Lonchura striata: one gene and its partners. The protein of the gene in region 1 binds, or shares a complex with, the protein of each later gene. Links are inferred from orthologs where the notes say so. Each region holds a gene or a part of one and is shown in the gene's direction. Other genes may lie near its edges.

Region 1 (7,640 bases):
GGACTGCCAAAAGGATTCCCCGTGCTCTGATTGGCTGGATTGCATAAGGGATTCCCTGTGCTCTGATTGGCTGGGACTGCTGAAGGAATTCCCCGTGCTCTGATTGGCTGGGATTGCATAAGGGATTCCCTGTGCTCTGATTGGCTGGGACTGCAGAAGGGATTCCCTGTGCTCTGATTGGCTGGGACTGCTGAAGGAATTCCCCGTGCTCTGATTGGCTGGGATTGCAGAAGGGATTCCCTGTGTTCTGATTGGCTGGGACTGCAGAAGGGATTCCCCGTGCTCTGATTGGCTGGGACTGCAGAAGGGATTCCCTGTGCTCTGATTGGCTGGGATTGCAGAAGGGATTCCCCATGCTCTGATTGGCTGGGACTGCAGAAGGGATTCCTTGTGCTCTGATTGGCTGGGACTGCAGAAGGGATTCCCCGTGCTCAGCGCGGACAGTGCCAGTGCCGGCCAGTGAGGACGATCCCAAGCCCACGGCAGTGCTGGTGACAAGTGGGTGACGAGGGACAGTGCCACGTGCAGGGACGGCTGCAGTGCCAGGCACAGGGTGCAGCGAGGGGACCATGACAGCTGGGACCACCCAGGCGTGCGAAAGGAACCGCTCGCTCCAACCCACATGAGACGCATCCCCACAGAACCGCTGGCACCTTCGGTGCCACCCTGGCCCTGCTGCGGGCAGGCCAGGCCCAGACTGTCCCCTGCCAGTGCCTGGTGCCATACAGCTGTGTCACCGTGTCCCCCCAGCGCAGACAAACAAGACCCAGGAGCCAGAGGAGGGACTTTACTGAGGGGGAGGGGGATGCCAGGGCTGCGGGGGCATCAGGGGCTGGAGGGGCGTCGGGGTTTGGGGGCACTCGGGGCTGTGCCTGTGGAGAGAGGAAAGAGCAGGGCGTGAGTCAGGGCCAGCACCCTACAGCCTGCAGCAGGGAAGGTTCAGAAACCACAAGCACACTCCCACCCCGTTGGCAGGCATGGGGTAAGGGATGTAGGGTGCAAAGTGTGGGATGCAGAGGGGGGTATGGGATCAGGATGTGGAGTGCAGGATCAGGATGTGGGTGCAGGATGGGGGTGCAGGATCAGGATGTGGGTGCAGGATGGGGGTGCAGGATCAGGATGTGGCTGCAGGATGGGGGTTAAGGATCAAGTTGTAGGGTGCACAACACAGTGCAGGACAGGGGCTGTGGGATTACCATGCAGGGTGCAAGACATGGTGCAGGATGCAGGATGGGGATGTGGGGTGCAGGGCACAGGGTATGGGACATGGGGACGCAGGATGCGAGGTGCCGGACACAGGATGCAGGATCGGCCCATGGGATGCAGGATCAGGATACGAGTGGGCACTGACCGTGCTCAGGAGCGGCAGATGCCCATGGCACTGCAGATCTCCTGGGGCGTCTCCCCGTTCTGCAGCGCCTCGCTGATCTTGTCCCGGTACTTGTTCACTATCCGCTTGCACACCTTGCCCACAACCCGGCCCAGCGCCCGGCAGCCCTTCCGCATTGCTGCTGCCACCGCCGACTGCCAAAGCCACCACAGGTCAGGGGGCCACGGGGAGAGGGCCCCTAGCCCAGCCCCCCAGACCCTCATCACCCCTCACCTCGTCGGGGTCGTCACCTGCCAGCGACTGTATCTTCTTCAGGACCTTGGTGCACAGGCTGCACTTAATCCCCCCACTTTGCCCCACGCCGTCCACGTCAGCCGCATTCCCCTGTGGGGACACAGAACACCCTCAGGGCTGCCTGGACCCCTGGTGGCCCTGGCAGTACTTGGGGTCGGGGTCTCACCAGGGCCAGGCTGTCGCGGAGCTGTTGGCACTGCTGCTCCCAGCCGCAGCGCGTGGCCGTGGCCGTGTCCCAGCACCCGGACGCTGGGTCACCCTGGCAGGGCAGGGGTGCCGTGGCCTCTGCTGCTGCACGGGGACAGGACAGTGAGCGTGGATGCAGGTTGGGTGCCCATCACTGAATTCCCAAACTCCTAAACCACCTGCCCCAGGTATTCAACCCCATCCCCACCATCCCTCATGCCTGTGCTCACATCCTCCTGTTCCCACTGCTCCTAGGTCCCCACATAGACCCCGTCCCCAAATGTCCCCAGGTGCCGGTCCCAACACGGGCACCGTGCCCATCACCCCTGGGTGCTTGGGCAGAGCCCATCCCTGCCACCCCCAGGTGCTTGCTCCCATCCCTGCAGCCCCCACCATCCCTCCTGATTGTCCCCTTGTCCTCCTTCCCACATCCCTGAGTGCCTGTCCCCACACAGACCCCATCCCCATCACACACAGGTCCCCACACAGAGCCCAGCCCCGCAGCTCAATCCTCCAGGCTGCCATCCCCCTCGTCCCGTGTCCTGTCCCGTCCACCTCGGGGTGGCCGTCAGGAGGGTCCCCATCACCTGCCAGCAGCAGCAGCAGCAGCAGGAAGGTGGCAGACATGGCGAGCCCACAGCAGATCACTGACAGCGGGTGCCTGCCTGCGTCCCGACACCTTTTATAGAGCGCTGGGGGGTGGGGGACCAAAACCCCAAAACCCAAACCCCTGAGAACCGAGCACGGCTGCTCCCCAGGGCCCTTCCTGCCTCACAGCTCCACCCCGCAGGAAGGGGTTACGGGGGGACTTGGGGAGCTCAGCACCCAGCCTCGGCCCTCGGGGAAATCCCACGAGTGGGGCGGGAGGGACAGCCCAGACCCCGAGATCCGTCCCGACATCGGGAGGCTGTCCCGGCTCCGCCTTGGCCCCCTCCGGGCTCTGGGGAGCCCAAGGGCGCAGTGTGCCCGCGGGGTCGGTCCCGGTGTTCCCCCTGGGGTCGGTCCCGGTGTCCCCCCTGGGGTCGGTCACGGTGCGCCCCTCACCCCTCGTGTGTCCTTCATCCCACGTGTGCCCCTCATCCCCCGCCTGTCCTTCATCCCACGCGTGCCCTTCACCCCACGGCTTCCGAAGGGCCCCGGGTCGGTGCCGGTGTCTTGGTGTCCCGGTGTCTGTCGCGCTGTCCCGTGTCCTGCTCCCCTCCATGTCCCGCTATGGCCCCTCCATGTCCCGCCCGGTCCCGCCCGGTCCCGCCCGGTCCCGCCCGGTCCCGCCCGGTCCCGCCCGGTCCCGCCCGGTCCCGCCCGGGGCTCTGGCCCCGCCCCTCAGCGCATCTCGCGCCGGCTCTGACGTCACTTGGCCGCGCGCGGCGTTCGCGCCTTTTCCCGCCGCAGCCCCGCCCCCATGGCGGGACCCGGTCCCGGTGCCGGCGGCGACCCCGGGCCCGAGCGTGACCGGCCCCGGGCCCGAGCGTGACCGGCCCCGGGCCCGAGCGTGACCGGCCCCGGGCCCGAGCGTGACCGGCCCCGGGCCCGAGCGTGACCGGCACCGACCCCGGGCCCGAGCGTGACCGGCCCCGGGCCCGAGCGTGACCGGCGGGGACCCCGGGCCCGAGCGTGACCGGCCCCGAGCCCGAGCGTGACCGGCGGGGACCCCGGGCCCGAGCGTGACCGGCCCCGGGCCCGAGCGTGACCGGCCCCGGGCCCGAGCGTGACCGGCGGCGACCCCGGGCCCGAGCGTGACCGGCCCCGGGCCCGAGCGTGACCGGCGGGGACCCCGGGCCCGAGCGTGACCGGCCCCGGGCCCGAGCGTGACCGGCGGGGACCCCGGGCCCGAGCGTGACCGGCCCCGGGCCCGAGCGTGACCGGCCCCGGGCCCGAGCGTGACCGGCACCGACCCTCGGCCCGCGACCCCCCAGCCCGTACGTGACCGGCGGGACCGGGCCGCGACCGAGCGGCTGTCCCCGTGCGGGGACGGGGGAGACCCGGTCGGGGGATCCTGTGGGGTCTGCGGGTACAGGGGATCCTGTGGGGTCTGCGGGTACAGGGGATCCTGTGGGGTCTGCAGCCCCGGGGGATCCTGTGGGGTCTGCAGCCCCGGGGGATCCTGTGGGGTCTGCAGCCCCGGGGGATCCTGTGGGGTCTGCGGGTACAGGGGATCCTGTGGGGTCTGCGGGCACAGGGGGATCCTGTGGGGTCTGCGGGTACAGGGGATCCTGTGGGGTCTGCAGCCCCGGGGGATCCTGTGGGGTCTGCGGGTGCAGGGGATCCTGTGGGGTCTGCGGGTACAGGGGATCCTGTGGGGTCTGCGGGTACAGGGGGATCCTGTGGGGTCTGCAGCCCCGGGGGATCCTGTGGGGTCTGCAGCCCCGGGGGGCTGGACCGTTGGGGCTGGGGGTGGCTCCTGCGTGCCCGGGGGTCCTGGTGCCAGCGGGGAGGGGGATTGTGCCGGTGGGAGCACATTTGTTGGGGGGCACTGGGGCATGTCCGGGGGCTGTGCCGGGCCTGGGTCCATCTGGAAGAGGGGTGGCTGTGGGGATGTGGTGGCCACGGTGTGTTTTGTGGGGACTTCAGGTGTCCTGCTCTGTGGGGGCATTGTAGGAGAGGATGGTGCGGTCACCAGGATGAGTTTGGGGCTGCCCTGCGTTGGGAGGAGAGGGGAGGAAGGAGGGCTGAGGGCTGCAGAGTGCTGCAGGGAGGGTCAGACCCGCACATGGTATTTTGGGGGTGGGGAAGATCATTTTCAGGGGGATGTTGTGCCTTGGGTGGGAGCCAGAGTCTCAATTCACCCGTTTATTTTCCAGACCCATCGTTGGAGCCCCACGCCATGTTTTCCGAGCAGGCGGCCGCCACGGCGCAGGGGCTGCTGGCCCCACCCTCGGCCGAGCCCCCCACCTTCCCCAGGGTGGCTGTGTCGGGGTACTCGGACTGCTCGCAGCCCTTCCAGCTGGGCGAGCGCAGCTTTGCCCGGCAGTACTCGCACATCTACGCCGTGCGCCTTGCGGGCATGCGGCCTGGCCTGGAGCGGCGCGCTCGCAGCCGATGGGGTGAGCCCGGGAACCCCTCAGCACGGGGGAAAGGGGAAAACACTGCCCTGGGAGAAACAGAACACTGCCGAGGAAAAACACTGCCCCGGGAAAAACAAAACACTGCCCTGAAAAAACACTGCCCTGGAAAAACACTGAGTGTCCAGGGGGAGCGGCTGGGGGGGCTCAGGCTGGAGAAAAGGAGGTTCAGGGGAACCTTCTGCCTCTCCATAATTTCCTGGCAGGAGGCAGCAGCCAGTGGGAGGGTTGGGCTCTGCTCCCAGGGAGCAGGGGCAGAACAAGAGGACACAGCCTGAAGGTGCAGCAGGAGAGGTTTAGGTTGGCTATTGGGAAAATTCCTTCATGGAAGGGGCTGTCCAGCCCTGGCAAAGCTGCCCAGGGCAGTGCTGGAGTCCCCATCCCTGTGGGGAAGTAACGGCTGTGTGGATGTTGCACTTGGGAGCGTAGGTTAGTGGTGGCCTGGGCAGCAAACATCTGTGGAGCTTAAAGCCTTCAGGTTTTATCTCGGTGTTTGACCAGATTTATATCTGGAGTGCAGAGATGAGTGTTCCTCAGGCTGGACGTACCCTGGGGCCAAGATCCATCCCTGTTGGGGGAGTCCATCCCTGCCAGGCTGGGATCCACCCAGAACCTTCCTGCAACCTGAGCAGCTCCAGTGTACCCAGTTGTGCCAGTCCCCAGCAGCGTTTTACCCTTGGCAGGGGCTGTGCAGCACAGCCAGTTCAGCCCCCAGCTCTGGCATGCACAGGGATGATGGGGCCATCCATTTGCAGGTGGATTATGTGGCAATCCTGCTGCAGCTCCCACCTGGAGTGCTGACCTTGGGACAAACTGCATTTCCCATCACAGATGGAAGGGGGGTGTGGGCAGGGAGAGCCCCATTGCCTTGGTCACATTGCCCCACACATTTCAGGGAGCAGGAGTTGAGTGTGAGGTTTGTCAAGGTGGGGCTGGGGGGCCCTGGCCAGGAAGTGGGGCACAGGAGGGTGCACAGGGGTGAGAGGTGCTGGTTGTGCCGGGGGGGTGTTTCCTGTCCTGGGGGGGTTGTGGTCTGCGGGTGGGACCCTCACGCTCAGAGTTTCCATCCACGGGATGAAGCAACTGGGGCTGCTGGGGCTCTGCCCCCCCTCCCCGGCCCGAGATCGAATTTCCTTCAGCTTTGCCCTTCTATGGGCAAAAACCCCTTCAGTGGAAGCTTTTGGGCCGGACGCCTGTTCTTGTGCTCTCCCCAGCCCCGTGGGCTGCGTGGAAGAAAAGCCAGCGCTGGTCTTTGGTTGGCCACCCTGCGCTTTGCCAAGTGTGACAGGATCCAGTGGTTTGTAAACTCCACCTCCTGGAGTCCTGGGACGGGACCAGATTTTGGGGTTTGTTTCCCAGCAGGAAACGCCTGCAGGCAGAAATCTGGAGAGCACAGCCCCCTCCCCCCTGAACACACATTTTGGGGAGTTTGAGCCAAAAATAAGAGACTTCAACGGGATTGTTTTTGTTCTGACTCAGAGTGTTTGCATTCCTGGGCTCGAGAATCCATGTTTCCAGTGTGGGGTGCCAGGGATGGCAGCGGGGTGCTCTCCCTGGGACAAGAGTCACGCTCAGCAGCGCGTGATGAGCAAAGTGGGATTTTTGGGAGAAGTGTCACCCAGAAAGGACGAGGAGCTGGTGCAGGCAATGTTGTTTTGGGAGAGGAGACCAGGAGCAGGTTCCTTGCTCCTCTCCGGGGCCTGAGGCTCAGGATGGACTTCACAGGCTGGTTTAAACAGGGAATGACAGTCCCACTGGATGGGAGGACACACACTGGATGGGGCTGGAGCACCTCTGGGTCCCCAGGGGTGGGGTAAGAAGTTTTGGGCTCACCTTGTGGTGAGGGAGATTTTTGCTCCTCAGCCACAAAGTGGGTGCAGCCGGGCCTGCAATGTTTCTTGCAGCTCCCGAGGTCCTCCCAGCCTGCATCCCCTGTGGATCCCTGCCTAAAGCCCAGGGACCTGTCAGCATGCCAGCACCTCCTCTGGAAGGGATGGGGATCCTGAATTCCAGCAGGGGTCTGGGGCAGAGGATCTGGCCCTGGCAGAGATCAGGTTTGGGGGTGTTTTGTCATCTCCTGCCTGTCATCTCCAGGATGTTTGGGTTATCCCCTGGGTGAGGAGCAGGAACAGCAGCCCCCTGCCCAAGGTGCCTCGTGGGCCCTTCCTGGGCAGAGCAGAGCAGTTACAGGGAGCTAACACAGCACCATGACCCAGCTTCCCCCCAGCACAGAGGAAATGCCTGCAGGCTTGCAGCCTCTGGAATGCTCCTCGGCCCCATCTGGCCCACACATGTCTGCTGGGCGCCGTGCCTCGAGGAGAAGCAGCAGGCTTCCCAAAACTCCCCAGCACCTCGGAGAAGCAGGAGGCTTCCCAAAATTCCCCAGCACCTTGGCACTGGGGCCCTGCAGCTGCTCCCGCCAGCCCCGCGCCGTGCCCACCGTCCCCCCGGGGCTGCTGACCCCCAGCTCTCCACAGGGAACGACGTTGTGCTGCGGAGGCTCTCGGAGCTGCACGAGGGAGAGAAGTGCTGCGTGGTGGGGACGCTCTTCAAGTCCATGCAGCTCCAGCCCTCCATCCTGCAGGAGATCAGTGAGGAGGTAATGGGCTCACCTCCTCCTCCTCCACACAGCTCGGGGTGGGAGTTGTGCCCGCACACCTGAGAGCTCAGCTGGGCTTCCATGGCTTCCCTGTGCTCGCTGTAGCCAGGGAACTGGCAGAGATTTGAGCAGGATGGCCTGTGTCCAGCCTGTCCCTGAGTGCCACCTT
Region 2 (6,010 bases), on another chromosome or scaffold:
TGTCCCCCCAGTTCCCCTCACTCACTGCCTGCGGGGCTGGGGGGGCTCAGGGCTCATCAGTGCCCGGTACCGGATCATCTCCACCTTCAGCCCCCTGGCACTGGCCACCTCCTGCACGGCCTCGTCCAGCCCATCCTGCATCCCTGAGACACCCTGTCTGTCAGCCAGACAGGGGACCCAGATGGAGGGTAGAGGAGCCCTGTGTCCCCTCAGTGCCATCCTTACCCAGAATCTGGAAGGCTCTTTCCTGGGTCACCGCCTCAGTGCCCTCCAGCAGAGCCTGCAGGGCTCCCTTGTCCCGGTAGAACACAGACAGCTGGTTGGAGTAGTAGTCCCTGGGGTCCCTATGGTCCTGGGAGGGACATGGAGCTGAGGGTGGCACCCCACTTGCCAGGCCCCTGGGGTGTGGGGTGCTGCTGTCAGGACAGGGGTCAGCACCTCTGGGCGCAGGCGGGTCAGGACAATGCTGAAATGGGGCCAGGAGTCCACCAGCACCTCGTGGGAGGCCGGGTTCCCCCTGGCCACCGTCATCACAGTCCCCAAGACCTGCACAATAAGGTCATTGTCACCTGTAGGACAGGGGAGAGGGGACAAAGGGGTGCCCAGAGTCCCTCTGGTCCCCTCACCAGCAGGGGAGAGGGAGCAATAGCATCCCCGGGGTCTGCAGCAGGGCAGGGGAGAGGGGACAGAGGGGTCCTTGTCACCACCAGGGCAGGTGGGGAGGCAGAGGGGTCCCAGGGTCCTCATCAATGGTAAGGCAGAGGAGAGGGGACAGGGGACAGGGACAGAGGGGTCCCGGGAATCAGCAACACTGACAGGACAAGGATGAGGGGACAAAGGAGTCCCCAGGGTCCTCACCACCGGCAGAGAGGGAGGGAGGGAGGGACAGAGGGGTCCCCAAGGACTCTGTCACCAGCAGGACAGGGCAGGGGGGACAGAGGGATCCTCGGGGTGGCTGTCACCGGCAGGGTGGTGGGCAGGCTCTTCCGCAGGGTCTCCTCCAGGAGCTGCAGCTGGGCTGGGCACCTCAGGATCAGCATGGCTTCGTGACCGTGGGGCAAGTGGTGACACTGAGGATCCGTGGGGAACTGGTGGCACTGAGACAATGTCCCAGAGTGTCCCAGCTGAGCACCTGTCCCCAGGCAGCCATAAAGCTGGCCTGGTGCCCAGTGTTCAGCGGGATGGACCCTGCCCGCTGCCCCCCAAGGCAGGGGGCACTCGCTGGCCCGTGACAGCTGGTGGTAACCATTGTCACCGAGTGCCACACAGTCTCCAGACTCTGACTCCACAGCCCCCTGGAACCCACAGACTCAGGACTGTTGCAGGGTGAGTGCTGGAGGAGATGGGGACCGTGAGGAAAGGGACGGGGACAGGGTCAGGGGCCATGCCTGGTGGCCCTGTCCCCCTGTTACTGAGGGTCTCTCAGCAGGACAATGAAGATCTTGACATGCTCAGCCCAGCTGCAGCACCTGGAGGGGATCCTGAGGAAGAGCCTGCCCCTCGCCCTGCCGGTGATGGGGACCCCACTGTCCCCACCCCTGCCCTGTGCCACGATAGGGACCCCAATGCTACCCCCATCCTGCCGGTCACAGGGACCCTGCTGTCACCCCTGCACTGTGCCATGACTGGGACACCAGCGACACTCATCTGTTGCTGTGATGGGGACCCCAATATCCCCCTTGCTGTGAGGGAGACCCCAATACCATCCCTGCCCTTTGCCCTCCTGCTGGTGATAGAGACTCCCGTGTCATTAGGAACCCTTTTGCCACCCTGTCCCCACACCTGCCCCCCTCCCATCAGCTCTGACCCCCTATCTGCTCCCACAAACCCCCTAGCTCTGGTCCCACATGTGCCCCTGTGTCCCCCATATCAAGCCCCCATCCCTGACCCCCATCTGTCCCCTCCTTGTTCCCCTTTTCCCCCAGGTCTTCGGGGCAGTGCTGAACATCAACCGGGGCAACCCTGGCCACTTTGAGGTGCTGGTGGACAAGTGGCCTGAATTCGGTGCCATGCTGGCCCGGCCCAGTGGAGAGGTGGCCAGTGGGGACATGGGGCACTGCAGGAGGGGGGTGACATGGTGCCCTAGCACGTGCGAAGTGTGCTCAGAGCACCCCTGGGTGCCCCCAGGTGCCGGTGAACGATGGCTACTGGAACACACAGGCGGCGTTTTACCGGGACCTGGGGGCGTACCGGGAGCTGCTGGAGACCCCCGGCTGCCTGCGCTGGGACGCTGCCTTCACCCTCATCGGTGGCCTGGGGACACTGGGGTCTTGGGGGGGTCCTGGGCATGCTCTGGGCTGCACTTGGGAGTGTGGGACACTGGGGAGAGCTGTTGGAGGCAGGGAGGAACTGGGAGGTACTGGTGAAGGAAATTGGGGGTGCTGGGGGACACTGGAGATGGGTGTTTGGGTGCTGGAGAGCACTGGAGGCCTGATTTGGTGTGCTGGGGTGGGGTTTGATGGGTGATACCAGTGGGAAGTGTTGGGGTGGGATTTAGGGGTGCTGGGGAGCACCAGGGAATTGCACTGGTGCAATTCTCTGAGCATCCTGGAAGCAGGGTTCAGGGGGTACTGGGGTTGAACTTGGGGATGCTGGGGGCACTGGGAAGCACTGCAGCTGGATTTGTGGGTCCTTGGGGACACTGGGGAGCGCTGGGGTTGGATTTGGGCATGCTAGGACCAGGACCGGGGTACTGGGCAAAGTGGAAGGAAGGATTTGGGTGCTGGGAATAGAGGCTGAGATTGCAGGCAGCCCCTGGGCACAATTAGGAGGACACTGGGGTCACATAGAGGGGCTGGGGACAGAGATGGTGGGGTACAGGAGGAACAGGACCCCATGACATCCCCTTCCCCAGGGATACAGGATGGGCTGGCCACGGTGTCCCAGGACCTGGCGGGGAGGAAGGGTGTGGAGCTGGACATTGTCGAGTACTACTCCTACTGGCACCCTGACCCCAGCACCGTGCCTGAGCCCCGGTGAGAGCCCCCCACCCTCGACCCCACACGGGAACACCCCTGAGCCCCCCACTGACCCCTGCCTCACCCAGGCCAGCCCCCGGGGTGCGTGTGGGCTCCCTGAGCCCCTCGCACGTGGACCTGCTCAACGAGACGTGGCCCTACGGGGGGAACGCCCGCAGCCGGCGCTTCCTGGCTGAGATTTTGGGGCGCTTCCCGCAAGTCTGCCTGCAGGACGGCAGCGGGCAGCCCATCGCCTGGGTGCTGACGGATCATTTCGGGACGAGCACCCACAGCTACACCCTGCCCGAGCACCGGCGGCGCGGCCACATGCAGGTGGCACTGACGCTGGCGGCGCAGCGGGCGCAGGCCCGCGGGTTCCCCACGTTCGGGCACACGGCGCTGGGGAACCGGCCCATGCAGCGGCTGCAGGAGCTGCTGGGCCACCAGCGCCTGCCCGGGGTCTGCCGCTACATCCTGCACAATCCTGGCCTGCACAGGGACGGGCCCTGAGGGAGGGCCTGCTGTCCCCTCTCTGTGCCAGCCTCACATTAAACAGCCGTGTGGCATCTCTGATGGCTGCTGTGGGGTTTTGTGTCCCCCCAGCGCTGAGCGTTACAGCGGTGGCACAGCTCGGTGGCTCACGTGTCACCGCTGAGGCACACAGCTGGGTCCCCTGGGAGCCACCCCTTTCCAAGGCACGCATCTCGGTTATTCTCAGTTTCCCAAGGGAGGGCTGAAAGCCGCAGGCAAATCTGCACTGGTTGCACCTGCGGTGTCACCCCCTCAACCGGGGCGGTGTCACCACAGCTGGGGACAGGCAGGCACTGGAGGGACAGGCAGTGACACACAGGGCAGAGTGGGACAGGGCAGAGGGTGACAGTGTCACAGGGTGAGTCGTGGTTTGGGGGACTGATGGGGACAGACAGGGGGTGACAGTGATGGAGGAATGCTGTGATGGGGGTGACATTGTCCAGGGGGACAGGGAGAAACCACAGAGGTGACAGTGCTGTAGTGATGGGGGTGACAGGGGTGACAATACCAGAGGGTAGTGGGCACAGCTGGGGATGACAGTGCCTGGGGTGACAGTCACTCACACGGGTGACAGTGCCAGGGGAAAAGGGAACACTGGGATGGAGGCGACAGTACCCTCGGGGTGCCAGAACTGCCACGGGGGTGACAGTGCGGCTGCTGGCAGGGACAACACGGGGGGTGACAGCACCCGGGGACAGCCGACGGGTGCCGAGGGGGGCGAGGGACCGGGACCACCGCGAGGGTGGACCGGCCAAGGCGGCAGCGTCCGAGGGCGCCCACGTCCGGCTCCCCGGCCCGGCCCCGCCGCTTCCGCCCGGCCATGGGCAGGGGCGGGTCCCTCGCTGGTTCCCGGTATTGGCGGGTCCCGCCCGGTTCCCGGTATTGGCGGGGCCGTGCCAGCTCCATGTCGCGCAGGGCCATGGAGCAGCCCCGGCGCATCACCGACTCCTTCCCGCGGCGGCGGGGCCCGCGGCGGCCCCCGGGCAGGCTCAAGAACAAGAAGGACGAGGACAAGGACAAGGACAAGGCGCAGCTGAAGGTGCGGGACTGTCCCCGCGCTCCCTCGCAGCCCCCTCCGGACCCGGCGCTCATGGAGATGTTGCGGCGCTTCGACCTCTCCTGGGAATACGGACCCTGCACCGGTGAGCACCCCCGGTTCCCCCGGTTGTCCCGGTGGCCCCGGGCTCCCCTCGGCCCGGCTGAGCCCCCGGTATCCCGCAGGGATCACCCGCCTGCAGCGCTGGGAACGGGCACAAGAGCTGGGGCTGAGCCCCCCCGGCCCCATCCGTGACGCCCTCCTGGAGCACCGGGACAACCCCGACGTCACCTACAGGTGGGTGTGGGATGGGAGGGTGGTTGGGGGGCACGGGGCATCCCCTCCCGGTGCCCCCCGCCCTTCCCGCTGACCCCGTTGTGTCCCCGCAGCCTCTGGCACGAGTACGAGCTCTGAGCCAGCACGCCGAGGGAGCGGGGGACCCATTCCCGACGCCCCCAGACCCCATTCCAGGGACACCGGCTGGATTAAAGTTGGTGTGAGCGAAGGAAAGGGTGCCGTGTGCTGCCTGGGGGGCACGGGGTGGGGTGAAACCCTTGGGGTGCAGGGGGAGGGCAGGAATTGCATCTCCCCCCAAAAAAGATGGGTGGGGTGTCCAGTCACGCAGTTTAATTCCACCCAACTGGGACTCAGGGAGAAAAATGTGTTCTTGGGCAGAGAAAGGGAGGTGGGATTTTCTTCCCCCAGGAATGGGGTGAAAAAATGAAGAACGAGGTATAAAATCAGGTGAAAGTGAGCACAGGGGTCTGAGGCAGGTGGCTGTGGATGGTGGGGATGCCCTGCAGCGGGGTGGGAAGGGTGACAGTGTCCTGTGGGATTCATATGTTTACTAGCCCGAATGAGCAGCTTTGCTGTGTGCAGAATGATAAATAACAGGATGTATCTGTTAATTATTCAGGTTATCGATGACTTAATTCACCAGCTCTTTCTGTTGTTTCATTAATAAAATAAATTGTTTCTATCTCTCGTGGGTCTAGCATTCATTAAATGCTAGTGCACCCACTAGAATATATTTAATTATTTTTTGTTGATTGGTTTGGTGCTTTTTATTAACTTTAATTTGGGGGATATGGGTATTTATATGGTGGACTTTTATAGATAGTCTTTTTATCTTGGTAGTGATGTCTTTTTAATTTTTAGCAGTCTAATTTTTTTTTATGCTGCTAATTAGTCTTTTTAATTTTTTTCTAGCTATCCTCACAGAGTACTGGTTACTATTTATGAATTAGTATAGAGGTAGAGTTTTGGCTTTAGTGCAGCATTGGAGCCAGCTATCACCTGGGATAAGGTGGGATGGGTTGGGATGGGGTGGCATGAGGTGGAATGGGGTGGGATGGGTGGGGACCACCCACAGCTCCCATCCCACTTGCACTGCAGGCTCCCAACCCTCTGGATTGCATTATCCAGCTGGGTCTGGTCCTGCCGTTGGAGCTGCAGTCCCTTGGATATCTTCTACAGACAGGACATA
Region 3 (7,105 bases), on another chromosome or scaffold:
AAACACTGAACATCCTTGAAATCAACAGGAACTCAAACATGACTGACAAAGTGGGTTTTGAAGTTAAGATGTACTGCTGGAAATTTTACCTTTGTGTATAGTCTAAACTCTTATCATCAAATTTTGTTGCACTCGGCTACTATAAAATAGATATTTGAAAATGTGGATTTTCCCTTGGCCTCCATCATGTGTAGTCACTACATGTGTCTATTTATATTTGCATTTATAATTTTTTGTGAACTGCAGATATCATTTTGTGACCAGTTTTTTTAAGTAGCTACAAAGTAGGCATTAAACAAAAATAAAAACTGACATGTCTTTTGTTTTAGAAAACAGGGCAAACCTTTATTGATTTTACTCTATGGAGAAATTATGACTTAAAAGACAGCCATCAGTTATGCTGATAAATAATACTATTAATACTCAAATTTTGATTGTACAGCTGTTTAGCTGTGCATGATTAGAACCAGTTATATATTCAAGAGTGATTATTTTCATGCAAATACTTGGCTGGCTAATGGGGAGAACAGCTGCTGCTTAGCAACTAGAGGAACAGAGAAAGGGGGTGACTTGCTTTGTAACAGAAAATGGCTTGAAACCTTAAGAGAGAGAACATACAGTGTTTGGAGGTACCAGAGAAAATTAGTGGTAGTGCTGTTTACAAGGATGTTTCCTTTTACAATTACTGACACCCTAGGCAAGCAGCATTTTCAGGTAATGAAGTGTAAACTATAAGAAAATTTGTATATCATATATGCATAACACATGTGTGAGTGAACAACAAATAAAACAACTCCTAAAAACAAATACTGACACACAAATTGAAATGTAGGAAACCTAGAAAGAGATTTTGTGTCTGTCATCTATTGAAAGGGTTAAACCAATTTTCAGACTTCAACAACTTAAAACCATCACAAACCAAGCTTTCTGGAAGAAGTGCTCTTTATTTCTGCTGCTCAATCTCAGTCCCTGCACTGCCTCCTCCTCTGTGCAAGCACAGGTTTTCACACCCCTACATAATGAAGCAGATCAAGGACCTGAGTGAGGTTAAAACTAACCCATATTTCTTAGTGGGATTGCTTTTATCTGGCTCATTTTCCAAGTCAAGTTTCTTGTGCAGCTATTCAAATGTTTGCACTGACATGAGGAGGAGGGCAGGGGACCTCCTGTGACAGCGCTGACTCAAACCTTTACTGAAAATACAGTCTTACCTTGGTGCAACCCTGCAGACAAACCTACTGACTTGACTGCAAGACAAAACTGAAAGCAGAAGTGAGCTGCAGGAAACTAGGGAAACTGAAAAGGCACCACTCAGAAAGCATGCAAGTTCCACAAAAGTGTCTGCACAGGTCTAATGTACACGTGGATTACACTATTTATATCAAAAAGGATATTTTTCAAAAAGGATACTTCCTTTTTTTTTTTTTTTTCTGAGTAACATTCAACATTTTCAGAAATCAAATTAATACCTCATATGAACAAGAAACTGGCTCTAGGTTAGGGATCAATTTTTCTTTCTGATTTCAAAACACGGTTCTCCCAGATTTAATAAACAACATAAAAAATGCTGTAATTTTAAATAGAAGACTCTGCATTACATGCTTTAGCAAATCCTGCTTTATGCTTCCAAGAAGTTAGTTATCTCAGCTGTCTACACTGTTTTACTGTGGGCAACTGTTTCTCTTCAGCAGGACTCCCAGGTATGAACTTGTGCTACATCTCACACACCACACTCATTTAGGAGAAACCAGAATCCACCGGTGGCAAATGTTTTGGTTTATCCACCAGCCCAGTGGAGGGACAGATACAACATCATGTTCTCCTGCCTGTGCAGATGACAAAATACAGCAGTGGACTGGTACACCCCAGCACAGAGGAGGACTGCTGATCTACCTTCAGCTCATGCAGACATCAGACCACATCTGCCAGTGTTCAAAGATATTAACCTGTCAGTGAAATGCACAGTGGTGGGAAGACACATTGCTCAGCAAGTTAAGAAGATCATGTGAACAGAAAGAAAACAGAGCATGGAATGGAGTAACACAAGAACTGTTACTGTCGCTACCAAAGTTCTACAGAAAATTAAGGAACTGGATTAGTGAGGGAGCAGTACAAAATGTATTGAAATAACAACAGTTAGAGATGCTGTTTGTTAACATGCCCCACCAGTAAGCTCCTAGTGATTTATCAGCCTTTGTGAAATCTAAGTATTCATAAGAGTATTTTTGCAGTTCCAAAGGTTTTCCAAATATTAGCTTTGCAGATGTAAACCATTGTCAAAAACTGAAGCTGTAGCTCAGTTATTCTTTAGATACAATGAAAATAATTTGGATTTTAACCCTATTTTAACCACTTCTCTAACACAAGATTTCTTGATCACTAGGCAGTTGGATTTTCTTTTTCTGTTCACATAAAAATGAGTTTAAGGAGGAAAACAGATGTGAGCTAGAGAAAATAAACAGCTTACAAAGAAAGAGTAGGAAACCAGTTACCCTTGAGTAGACAGGCAAGCTTCCTGTTCATTACAATGAAAAAATGAAGGGTAGCAACTGCCTGACCTGTCTTTTGTTCAAATCTAAACCCGAAACACATGTAAGCAAATGCAAAACACGTGTTCTACATATTGGACGTTTGTCAGGTTTTATAGATTTGCACATTTGTCTCATATCATCCAGTCCTGCACGCACATGTATCAGCATCACTCTGAGCGCGTTTGAGAGCATTTGGCCTTTTAACTGGCTCATCTCCCACTCCACAAACTCTTTGGATATTTGCTATGTTTGGGGGTTTTTACCCCCGGATCTGCAGCTCTCAGACAAAGAGATTGCAACAGGAACCTTAAACCTAAACACAAGGTTTTTTCAGCGCCTCAGCCTAAAGTCAATCCTGTTTTATGGTTTTCAATAAAAACCTGCACGAGAGCGCTGCAAACCGCAAAGTAAGCGCTCATAAAGGGCGGAGGAGGAGGAGGAGGAGGCAGCAGGAGCGATGGGGGGACGCGGCCGCTGCGGGGCCGAGCCGCCCGCGGGGACGCGGGACGCGACCCCGCCCCCGCCGCTCCGCCGCAGCGCGCCCGGCCCCGCCCGCCCCCTCCGCGCGCCCGGCCCCGCCGCCAATCGCCGCCGGCCCTCCGCAGCCCCGGCCCCGCCCCCTCCGCGCGCCCGGCCCCGCCGCCAATCGCCGCCGGCCCTCCGCAGCCCCGGCCCCGCCCCCTCCGCGCGCCCGGCCCCGCCGCCAATCGCCGCCGGCCCTCCGCAGCCCCGGCCCCGCCCCCTCCGCGCCGCGCGCTCACCCTCACAGCCCGACGGCGCGCGGGCGCCCCATCCCCTCCTCCCGGTCCCGTCCCCGTCCTCGCCCTCATCTTCTTAGGGTGTTTTTTTTCTTTTTGGCTGGCCCCTGCGGCGTGGGGAGACTCACCTCCCCGCCATTCAAAATGGCGGTCGACCCAGCTTAACCCCGTCGTGTTCCGGCAGCGCTGCCTCTCCCGCCCCATCCGCGGCTCGGGATTCCGCAGCCTCACCCCCAGCCCGCGCGGCCGATCGCCGAATCACCGAGGCCGTCCCTCTCTCCCTCCCTGCCTCGTCCCTCGCCACCAGGGGAGGCGATACAAAGATTTTTTCCCCCGCTCCCACGCGCGCTCCCGCCCAGCCTGCCGAGCCCAACCGAAAGGTGGGAGCGGGGGAGCGCGCGTGCGTGTCGGGAGTGACGGACACCTCCTCCGCTCGTTGAGCCCCTTTCCCCCCCAACACATGGCCCGTCCGCCCCCGTCCCCATCCTCCCAGTGGTTGCATCCGTGACGACATCATCATGGCAACAGCAGCTGCAGCCCGGGGCCGGGGCGCCGCCGTCGCCGCCGGGGCGTCCGCGGGGCACGAGCCCGCGCTGTCCCTGAGGGGCGCGCGGCCGCACGGGCTGTAGGAGCGCGCGGGGGGGCGCGCCGCCGCGCACGCGCCCAGAGCGGCGGCGTCGGGCGGGGGGAGCAGAGACACAGACAAGGCGCGCGCGGGGCTGCGCGCGCTCCCGCGGGCGGGCGAGGAACGGCAGGCGCGGGGAGTGCTGCGCTCGCGCGCGCGCTCGCTGCGGCGGCGGCGGCGGCGGCGGCGGGCGGGGGGAGCCGTGCGGGCTCCGCGCTCGCTCCGCGCTCGCTCCGCGCTCGCTCGCTCGGTGCTGTGCTGGTGCCTCGGCGGCGGCCAACAAACATGTTCTCAGTGCGGATCGTGACTGCCGACTACTACATGGGCAGCCCGCTGCCCGGCCTGGACCCCTGCCAGTCCCGCTTCCGAGAGGCCCCGGCCAAACGGGTGCCCGTCGTGAGAGTCTTCGGCGCCACCCCTGCAGGTAAGGGATGACCCCCGCCGCCGCCACCGACGGGCGGGAGGGGACGTCCCCCCGCTGCGGCGCCGCGGGTCGCGCTGGCGCCGGCCCCGCCGCCGCCCACTCCGCTCCCGCTCTTTGTGGCTGGGTCGCGCCCCCCCTCTCCGCGCCCGGCGCCGCCGCTGCGGCGCGTCTCACCTGCCAGCGGCGGCCGCGGCGGCGGCAGGGCAGCGGCGAGGAGCGGGGACCTGCCCCGGGTGCCGCACCGCGCCCGCCGGTGGCCGCGGGGGCTGCGGGCCGCCGGGGCTTTGTGCGGGGCTGCCCCGGGAGAGCCGCGCGGCTGTGCAAACACCGGGAGCGGCCCGTGCCGCCCTCGCTCCCGGTGCCCACCGCCGCTCTCCTGCCCTTGCCGGGAGCTCTCGCTGCGAGAGGGCGAGCGGACGAGGGGAAGCCGCTGAGCGCGGGCACAAGCGGGACTTGTGCGGCACTTGGGAAGTGCGGGCTCGTGTCGCGGCACGGATCGCGCGCGGCCGGAGGCACCGGTGCTGCACTGCAGAGAGGAGCGTCCTGAGCGCCGGCCACATGTTGCCCCCGAGACTCCCGAATGTCACATGCCACTTCACTGCCTCTTCGCCGTGTGGCCTTGTGCCTACAGCCGTCCCGCGTCTCAGATGTGTTTCTGACCAATGCAGACAATACATTCTCAGAACAAATTCTAACAAAGTAAATACTTAGGAAAATTAATTTTATATGTATTGTAGTTTGCCCATACGTTAAATATTAAATTGGAAAAAACCCTTGGCTTTTGAGATACTCGACATAGTAAGCATCATTGCCTGTGATCTCTACACTTAACGCTGTGTAATACTGACCTTGGGAATTAAGGTATTTCTACATATTTTATTGACTGGCTCGGTGAAAATTATCTATTGATGCACATACAATAAATCTTATTCAAGACAAAAAACATGTAATAAAAGAGCATAGCAGAGGTGTCTTTCCCTTCAGGCAGTTATTATAGTAGAGCAGTTATTTTGTTGTATTTTTTGTCAGCTTGGTTTTTTTTTTTTTTTTTTAATCCAGAATTAACTGTCTTCTCTGTTTAAGCACAGAGGAATGTGACATATTCAAGCTGTTGTGTTCTGATGCAACTACAGCTCCAAATTATTAAGTGAATGAGTGGGATTAATAGATACAACATTGAAATAGTGGGACCTATTTTATTGTAGCTCTAATTCTGCATACAAAGGAGATATTATGTAATAATATTTATGTAATGGCAGGAGTAACTATTTCATGATTAAAGAATGTGGAGCCTGAGGTTGTTGGCAGGTAGCAGGATTTTTGTGCATGCATGTGGTTAACTCATTAAGGCTTATTTGCTTTTAAGAAAATGTTTAGGCTATGCCATATCATGAATGTGGCATCATAAAGTAAACAGTGAAGTAGTTTAGTTGTCCAGCTATTAGGAATACTGTAGGAAATCCCTGGCTTCCCCAACCATAAACTTTAGTGTCAGTTTGCATAATAGAAGTGTTTCTAATTTGTCTTTGTTAGAGAAACAATTCACTAGAGTCTGCAAAAGCAGTGTTACTTGTCTATCCTATTTATTTCCTTTTTAAACTTTTAAATTTTTTTATGTTTTGTACCTTTAGTAATGTTTGCTATTAAGCTTCATGAGCTTCTTACTGCATCTCTGCATCATTTTTTTTTTCCTTTTTAGAAAAGCAGACGTGTAATTCTCCCTCTTCAGAGGTGTTGGACCTAAGCACTCCTTGTCAGAAGTACTCTGACAGTGATTTTCAGGCTATTTCTTGAAAGCTGAAATTTAAAGTGAAGTGTAATCACTTACATCTGCACCGACATTTTCTTTGAGGAAAAAGAAATAGTGAAAACAACTTTTAGCATACTGTCTAAGACAATGGGATGTCCTTATTGTTTGTCTTACAGGCAGTGTGATGCTTTTCTTCACTTGAGTTGGTCTGTGTGGGAGCAATCCTTTCTCATTGGGTTTAATGTGTGTGCCTTGCCTCCAGGAAAGGTACTCAGTTGCCTTGTTTCCTGCATGGCAGCAACCTATTATGGCTGTATTGGCTGTTCCACCTCTATCATGATTAACTTTGCACGACTCTTAGTGTGTTTATAGCTGTGTGCCCAAGCTATGCAGGTAATTGGGAGTCAGGTTCAGAACAGACTCCAAATGTCGCCTGCTGAGTGAAGGGGGTTTGATTGGAATGTGGCAGTGGCTTATGCAGACGTTCAGAAAGTCAAACGTTTGGCACTGCTGTATCCTTATGTCCACCAGCAACTAAGGACAGTGGTCCTGAAGGCACGCACCTGTTCTTGCTGCCCCATCTTCTGCACTCAGTGAAGTGTGAGAATGACAGGGATTGCCAGTGTTACCTTTGAAGGTTTTTATGTAATCTAGGACTCAATAACTTGTAAAGGTTTACTGGTACAATCTATAAAATGAAAATGGCTTGTGGTTGGGAGAAGAAAAAGCCAGACTTTTAATTAAGAGTAATGGAAGGATCAGCTTCTAGAATAGACTGCGCTGGCAATAACATTTGACAACTTCTTTATGTCTTTTGAGGAAGAAATCTTGTATTTGGTAAGACTATGCAAATTCTGTCTTGATGTCCTATATCTTTGCATAGTGAGAACTTGAAAGACGAGGAATCAAAATTTTCTTTAAGCCAAAAGATCTGCCTGCTATATTCTGCTATTTTGTGAAATAAAGAGTAAAATTCTGATTACAGTAGCAAAAGGTAAAGTGAGCTGATTGAGCCAT
Region 4 (7,423 bases), on another chromosome or scaffold:
CCTGGAGAGCAGCTCTAGGTCTCTGCCTTGGCAGGAGAGACTCATATTTTGCACCAACAGTGTGTGTGCAGCAAGTTATTTTCTTGTTTTTATGGTTAAGCCCCCAGTTCTCTCCTGGAGATCAAAGCCCAGGGCTCTTCCTGTCTGGCTGGCAGGACATGGAGCCATGTGTCACAGGACTGGGACCCTCGTCAGCACCACGCCACTGGCGTGCATCGTTGCTGCCCAATTTACTGTCCACATCCTGCTTTTCAGCCAGGCGGAAACGGGATGGAAGGGGCTGCGGATGGCTCACCTTTTATTCTTCTGCCAGGGCTGGGGCGTTTCTACAGCACACTGGGGGTTTTGTTGTGTCCATGATTTGCTGTCCCGTTGTACCTTCTCCTCTGGGTGCCGTAAACACAAGCAGAGCCTGTGCAGTCCTCACCAATTCATTGAAGGACAGAGTCTGATTTTTTTCTGGCAGGAGAGCCTCCCTCTGAGCTTTAGGGCCAATGCAAGTCGGGGCTTAATAGCAGGAAGCTGAGGGGAGGGCAGAGGTGGTGGCTGTGAAACAGGTGCCTGGCAAGAGGGGCTGTCACAGCTCATGGAGAGCTACAGGCAGAGGCAAAAGGCAACATCTTGACTTACTCAGGCTCTACAAGCACCAGCCACCTTACTAGGAAGGACAAACATTTCATTCTGGAATGCACCTGTTATAAATGAATCAGTCAATTTAATAATTAAAGGAATTTATTAAATCAAATAGAAGTAAAATTGGGAAAGCCAGAAGCAAATCAGCGCCGAGCCAGGCATTCGGTGCTGGGTGAACTGGGTCCGGACTAATGCAGCACCATACCCTGGCAGTTCACGGGGTACTGATTTCACATGGTCTTTTTTATACTGTTTCTAGAGTTAACAGGATTCTGGGGTGGTTCTCCTGTTTCCTTTTGTCCTTTTTCACATATTCATGCATGTTCTTTTTTTGTGGTGCTTCTAAACAGAGGCTTTCCTAGAATACTCTCATTGCTGAAATCCTCTTAGACAGTAATCCCCCCGAATATCTTGTTCTGGCAACGAATATTCATCTTAGCATTCAAGGCATATCTTCTAGAATAATCCTTCAGAATAACCATCTTTTGAGACAGGAATTCATCCTGTGTATATTGCTCTTTCCCATCACGTGGTTCCATTTAAAAGGATACTGTATTTTTTAGTCCTGAGCACAAATCTATTCTAAATCATATATTACACACCTTTCCCTGGGAAGGCTGGGGGGGAAGGGCTGGGGCTGAGATCCCCGGTTTGTTTGGGCAGGATCTGGGGGTCTGTGTCCCACAGGCAGGGCTGCTCTGCCCCCAGCCTGTTCCCTTCATTGACTCAAAGCAGCACGTTCCCAAGGCTGTGCCAAAGGGGAAGGAAAGCAGGGAAACACACCACAGGCTGTGCCCCAGGGGTGCAGTAAGGAAGTACTTAAGGAAGCTCCTTGATGGCCTGGGCAGACGGGTCAGAGCCGGTGTTTCTGTGCTGATTGCACTTCTCTGGGCAGTCGTCATTTTTTGGCTCATCTTGGAGCAAACACGGCAGGCCTTACGCTCCTCTGAGCTTCCCAGGAGCTGGCACTCCCACTTGGGAAGCTCAGATGTGTTGTTTGTCCTTCATCAACACTGTTGAAAGGTGCCCAGTAGCTGGCCAGAGCCCCTCCCAGGGGTCACCCTGCCATCTGCGAAGACAGCACCACTCCAACCAGCCAAAATCACCACTGATAGGTCACACACCCATCACAGCACTGCTTGTGGCAAAGATGCTCCTGAAGGGCTCAGGGGAGGGATGGCAGTTCTTAGGGAACACCAGAGAAATGTCGAGGTGAGACCCCACCTGCAGAGCTGCCCCACCCCTGGGGACACAGCAGCAGAACATGGAGCTGCTGGAGAGAGCCCAGAGGAGGCCATGGGGATGCTCTGAGGGCTGGAGCCAGGCTGGGAGAGCTGGGGGTGCTCACCTGGAGAGGAGAAGGCTCCAGGGAGAGCTCAGAGCCCTTGCAGGGCCTGGAGGGCTCCAAGGGACTCAAAATTCTTGGTATAAATCACTGTAGAGCCCAGTCTCAAACTGTGCCTAATTACAAATCCCAGGGCACTTCCACACAGCCTGACAAGGTGAGGACAGAGGTTGCTCAGAGGCTCCTCTGCAGCTCCGTCACCGAGGAGCCAGCCCTGCTTGTCGGTGCGTCCTTCAGAAACTTGGCTCTTTTGGAGCCTTTTTTGTGCCTTGTTGACTCTGCCTTTCACACCTCAGAGGAGCTGGCACTGAAGCTTCAGAGCTGGCACAACTGAGGAAGAAAGACAATGAAGCAAGCCTACATTAAGAGATCTCAAAATATTTCACCACGGAGATCAGGAGCAGCCTGGTCTAGTGGAAGGTGTCCATGCCCATGGCTGGGGAGTGGAACAGGATGGTCGTTTGGGCCCATTCCAATCCCCTTCTGTGATTCTAATAACTTGTTATGTCCAGTCCGAACCTTTCATTTCAATCTGTGCCCACATAGCTCCCTCAGAGTAGAAAGCAGGTCTGAGTGAGTGCAGATGCAGATCCCACATCATTTTAATAGAGAGGAAAGAAATCCTCAGCTGAAGAATTCTTACCTCTCACACTCATTCATACCCTTAAGCCAGCCTGCAGGGCCAGCACACATTGTGTCCTGAGAGTGAAAAGTGCTATTTTACACTCATCAGACACTAAGCCCAGGTCATGAAATCAGCTCAAAGCAGGAAACTTAAGGTAGAAAAAACAAAGGACGAAAAGAGACTTAAAAACAATGAAAAGATGAGTAACATGCTTAGAGCTGCACACTCCTTCCGTAAACCAGGCAGAAACGTCAAGCCAGGAATGTCACAGCACAAGAATAACTACAGCGAAATTAAGAAAAAGAGACAACAGGAGTGTGAGAAAAGGTGCCTGGCACACAGGAGGAAGAGGATGTGGATTGTTTTGTTATCAGCAAAACAAACCTGATGCCAGCTAAGTAATGAATGCCATTGTGAGCCTTGAGAAACACTCCAGCACAGGGATACTCTGAGTTTATTTTAACACTTATTAAACATGTCTGATTTCCTTCCCTCACCATTGCCAGGTAAAAAGCTGTTGTGCTCAAGTCAGGATCTGCATCTGCTTACAGTTCTCATGAAATGAGTGACTTTGACCAGGGCCAGGGACACTCCTGTCCAGCATGGCTACCCTGGAGTGGAATCACCACTGCACTCCCCAGCCAGGGGTTCTTCCCTGGGGCTCTGTGCCTGTCTGGAGCAAGCCCCAGATATTTGCTGATAATTGGGTATTTTTCAGCGTGCTCAGCTTCTTCTGGCACCTCCTTTCAGAGGTGCTGGTGCAGGCAGAGCAGGGAGGATGAAGGGGAGTGGGAGCACCTCTGCTCCTAAGGAACAAGGGACAGGACAAGGGGAAACGGCCTCAAGCTGTGCCAGAGGAGGTTTGGGTTGGATATTAGGGGAAATTCCTTCACGGAAAGGGCTGTCCAGGTGAATCCCCATCCCTGGATGTGGCACTTGAGGACATGGGTTAGTGGTGGCCCTGGCAGCGCTGGGGGAAGGATTCCACTCGAAGATCCTGGAGGGCTTTGGGGTTCTTCCCGTGTGGTTCTGGGGTTCCTCCCGTGTGGTTCTGGGGCTCCTGCGCCACCTCCAGCGACAATTCCCGGCGGCCCAAGCCCAGGGCGCTGTCCCACGGCGTGTCCCTCAGTGCTGCGGGCAGGCGCGGTGTCCAGCTGGCACCTGCCGTCCCGGACAGGGAACTGCACGGGCAGGGACGGTCCGGGAGCTGCCCTGCCATGCCGGACACGGGGCATGCACCCGCACGCACGGGAGCTGTCCCTGCTGTCCCGAGCTCTGCAGAGCCGCTGACCCCTCTCGTGGCTGGGGCAGGGCTGCTTTGGAATTCTGCCTGTTACAGCTTGGTTTTCCCCCAATCCACTAAGAAGCGTTATTATTTTATTTTATTTTATTTTATTTTATTTTATTTTATTTTATTTTATCTTTTATTATTTTATTTTATTAGTTTGTATTGTATTGTATTTTGTAATTTTATTTTTATTATTTTTATTATTTTATTTTATATAAAATATTATATATTTTTTTATATAAAAAGGCAGAGGGGGGGAAAGGAGGAAGGGGTGGAAGGAGAAGGAAGCGGGACAGGGAAGGAAAGGCGGAGAGGTGACGGGCCGGCAGGGCAGGTATCCAGGTGGGAGCCAGGTACCCTCCAGCCAACAAGAGGGAGCTGAGGAGCGCCACGGCCACTCCTTGTTCCCGTGGGGGGAGCGTGCGGCGGAGCGCTCCTGACCGAGGCGAGTCGCGGGCCCGCCCGGCCCGGCGGAGCGCTCCTGAGAGAACCGTGTCCGCGCGCGGCCGCCGTCGGCGGCGGGGCCGTTGCCATAGCGGCGGCAGCGCGCGCGCGGCGGCGCTGAGGCGGGAAGCGGGGGCTGGACAGCGGGCCCGGCGCGGCCATGGCGGACGAGCTGTACCTGGAGAATATCGACGAGTTCGTCACCGACCACAACCGCGTCGTGAGTGCCGCCTGCTCCCCTCTTCCTTCCCTGTCCCGCTTCCTCCTCCTTCCACTCCTTCCTTCTTCCCCCCACCCCCCGCCTTCCGCCGCCCCTTTCCTTTCCTTTCCTTTCCTTTCCTTTCCTTTCCTTTCCTTTCCTTTCCTTTCCTCTCCTCTCCTCTCCTCTCCTCTCCTCTCCTCTCCTCTCCTCTCCTCTCCTCTCCTCTCCTTCCCTTTCCCTTTCCCTTTCCCTTCTTTCCTTCCCCATTCCTTCTCCCCTCCTTCATCTCCCTTTTCTTCCTCCTTCTCCCCTCTTTACGTTCTCTCTTCCCTTCTTTCTCCCCCTTCCTCCTTTTCCCATCTTTCTCCTTTTCCCTTCCTTCTCCGTCTTCTTCCTCCCTCCTCCCCACTCTTCCTTCTCTCCCTCTGTTTTCCCTTCTCTCTTCCCCCCCTTCCCTAACTATTTTGAAGGCAGTTCAGAAAGCTGATGGTTTCCCACGTGGATCTGTTCCTTTCCAAGTTTATTTCAAAAATTTATTTGGAAAGAAAAAGAAACGAGATAAAATAAAATAAAAAAATAATAAAATAAAATAAAATAAAATAAAATAGGTTTTGCTTAGAAAATGGTGCAGCAAAGAACAAGAGCAGCCTGTGGCTTTGTAGCTCATTCCAGGAACAATGCAGACAAACGAGAATTTAATTGTGTTTTCAGCCCAGAGCCTGGGGCGTTGTTTAAAAGGGCAGAGCAGGAGGAGGAGCAGGTGTCGGAGATGTACTTGGTCAAAATGACACGGCAGGACAGGGATTGCAGCACTGAGATTTTGCAGCTGGAGATGTCCAGCCGCGTCCCAGGGCCAGACGACACACATTTGGGAAAGCTCTCAGGAATTCAGGGTGCTCAGTGAGGCACAGGGTGCTCTCACTTCTGCCGTGGGTTTCTTGCAAGGGAGCGAGGTGTCCAAGGAATTCCATGGACCAACAAGCCAAAGAGGGGAGATTGATCAAACTGAGAGGCCAAGGTTTTGCTATTGAAGTGTTTTTTTTGGGGTTTTTCCCCTTTTCCAGGTGACGTACAAATGGCTGAGCTACACCCTGGGCGTCCACGTCAACCAGGCTAAACAGTAGGTTTCCCTGCATCCCCCAGAGCCCCAAACAATAAACTGATTCACATGCATGAAATACTCTGTCAGTCTCCAAATCTGCCTGAATTGGAAGGTTATTATTTACTGCATTCGTTCAGTATGATGGAATATTTAAAGTTGCACGAGTACTGTCACATTTATAGTCCAAGCTTAACAGTTTTCCCCCCATTTCTTTTGGAAATAACAAATCTCTTGACTCACTAGAACTGGCCAGGGGATTGGCAACTTGTACTGTTATATTTAATGTATTTGAAGCAAACAGCTGACTTCTGACATAGGAACAAGTAATTACTTTTTCACTTTGTCTTAGCAGCTTGTGTATGTTTAAAATAAGATTACAGTATCACTGGATGGTTTGGGTTGGGAAGGATTTCCTGTCAGTTCCATGTCAATTCCTGTTTCCATTGTGGTGTGAGCCCATTAAAATGATTCCTCTGGAAATGCTTGCCAACCCTGCCTGTCTTCCCAGGCACAACCAGCTGTGGTAGTCCATGTGCCTGCCTGTCTTCCAGCCTTGCTGAGTGGGCAGTGAGGCACCAAAACCTCCCAGGGGTGTCAGGAATGCCCTTCTGGGGGACAGGCTTTGGAACAGGCTGCCCAGGGGCTGTGAGACGCACTATTAGATACTATTAAATGTATTTTCATACTAAAAAAGATATTATTATATATGTTATGTATTAAAAATATATATTATGTGGAATATATATTATATATCATATTCTATATTATATATGTAATATATTTGTTGTATATATTATATACATTATTATATATTATATGTATTATATACTATTAAATGTACTTTCATAGTAAAAAAGACATTTTATGTATAATTATATATAATATATTGAAATATATTATATTATACATTATACATATGTGATATAGATATTACATATACAATATATATTATTATATATTATATGTATTATTATGTATTATATGTATTATTTTGCATATTATATATAAATATATAATTTATTATATGTTATACAATGTATGTAATACATTACATATATGTATGTAATATACATATTACATATATTTAGTGTATGTAATATATATATTATATTTATTATATGTATTACATACTATTAAATGTATTTTTATACTAAAATACATTGTTATATTTATTATTAGACATAAATGTATAATGTCTTGTTATACATTATATAATACATTATATTTCATATAATATAGTACTATATGGTATTATATAATACCATATAATATTATATTTATTAATTATATTTATTATTATGTGTTATTAAATGTATTATATACTATTAAATGTATTTGCCCTTTGGTTTCTGTAGTTGTTGGACTGGACTCTGCAGTGGCAGAGGCACAAGGGTCTCAGAAAAGGAAGCCTGAGGGAATGAAATGAATCCTGAGGAGAGCAATGTGCCTGCGTGGCCAGTGTCCATGCCAGGCTGGCTCTGCTCGGGGTGTGCAGTGTGGGCTCTCTCCTCTCTGCTGGCTCACTCTGGTTTCTTTTGTGCAGAATGCTCTATGATTACGTAGAGAGGAAACGCAAGGAGAACTCGGGAGCTCAGCTTCACGTCACCTACCTGGTGGCAGGAAACCTCCTCCAGAATGGACACTTTGTGAGTGGTGCCCTTCTCACAGGAGTCTGTCAGCCTTGGTTGTGTTGTCTCTTCTGCCTCGTTCTGTGCTCCTGGGATGAAAAGCTGCCCTGGCTCTCTCTGCAACAGGAGCTGCAGTGTGCCAGGGCTTCTGGACAG

What was found.
Region 2: POLD2 (region 1) and POLD4 share a complex: the UniProt entries of both Homo sapiens proteins name them as parts of the tetrameric DNA polymerase delta complex. The link is inferred for Lonchura striata from reciprocal best matches to the Homo sapiens genes POLD2 and POLD4.
Region 3: POLD2 (region 1) and REV3L share a complex: the UniProt entries of both Homo sapiens proteins name them as parts of the tetrameric Pol-zeta complex. The link is inferred for Lonchura striata from reciprocal best matches to the Homo sapiens genes POLD2 and REV3L.
Region 4: POLD2 (region 1) and POLD3 share a complex: the UniProt entries of both Homo sapiens proteins name them as parts of the both the DNA polymerase delta and DNA polymerase zeta complex. The link is inferred for Lonchura striata from reciprocal best matches to the Homo sapiens genes POLD2 and POLD3.

Annotation. Positions count from the first base shown.
Region 1 is NC_134634.1:5,317,220-5,324,859, reverse strand, and holds the start of POLD2 (DNA polymerase delta subunit 2), read left to right. Parts: upstream 1-4,617; 5' UTR 4,618-4,634; coding exon 4,635-4,854; intron 4,855-7,349; coding exon 7,350-7,471; intron 7,472-7,640. Other genes in the region: GNLY (granulysin), read right to left, coding at 1,357-1,524, 1,604-1,714, 1,791-1,915, 2,855-3,014. UniProt on the Homo sapiens protein: Accessory component of both the DNA polymerase delta complex and the DNA polymerase zeta complex.
Region 2 is NC_134608.1:53,852,451-53,858,460, forward strand, and holds POLD4 (DNA polymerase delta subunit 4), read left to right. Parts: upstream 1-4,309; 5' UTR 4,310-4,392; coding exon 4,393-4,630; intron 4,631-4,709; coding exon 4,710-4,821; intron 4,822-4,913; coding exon 4,914-4,938; 3' UTR 4,939-5,503; downstream 5,504-6,010. Other genes in the region: glycine N-acyltransferase-like protein 3, read right to left, coding at 26-143, 226-352, 439-546, 963-1,040; glycine N-acyltransferase-like protein 3, read left to right, coding at 1,434-1,511, 1,926-2,033, 2,128-2,248, 2,855-2,975, 3,047-3,467. UniProt on the Homo sapiens protein: As a component of the tetrameric DNA polymerase delta complex (Pol-delta4), plays a role in high fidelity genome replication and repair.
Region 3 is NC_134605.1:68,476,888-68,483,992, forward strand, and holds the start of REV3L (DNA polymerase zeta catalytic subunit), read left to right. Parts: upstream 1-4,089; 5' UTR 4,090-4,199; coding exon 4,200-4,338; intron 4,339-7,105. UniProt on the Homo sapiens protein: Catalytic subunit of the DNA polymerase zeta complex, an error-prone polymerase specialized in translesion DNA synthesis (TLS). Lacks an intrinsic 3'-5' exonuclease activity and thus has no proofreading function.
Region 4 is NC_134604.1:19,187,208-19,194,630, forward strand, and holds the start of POLD3 (DNA polymerase delta subunit 3), read left to right. Parts: upstream 1-4,412; 5' UTR 4,413-4,495; coding exon 4,496-4,555; intron 4,556-5,601; coding exon 5,602-5,657; intron 5,658-7,182; coding exon 7,183-7,285; intron 7,286-7,423. UniProt on the Homo sapiens protein: Accessory component of both the DNA polymerase delta complex and the DNA polymerase zeta complex.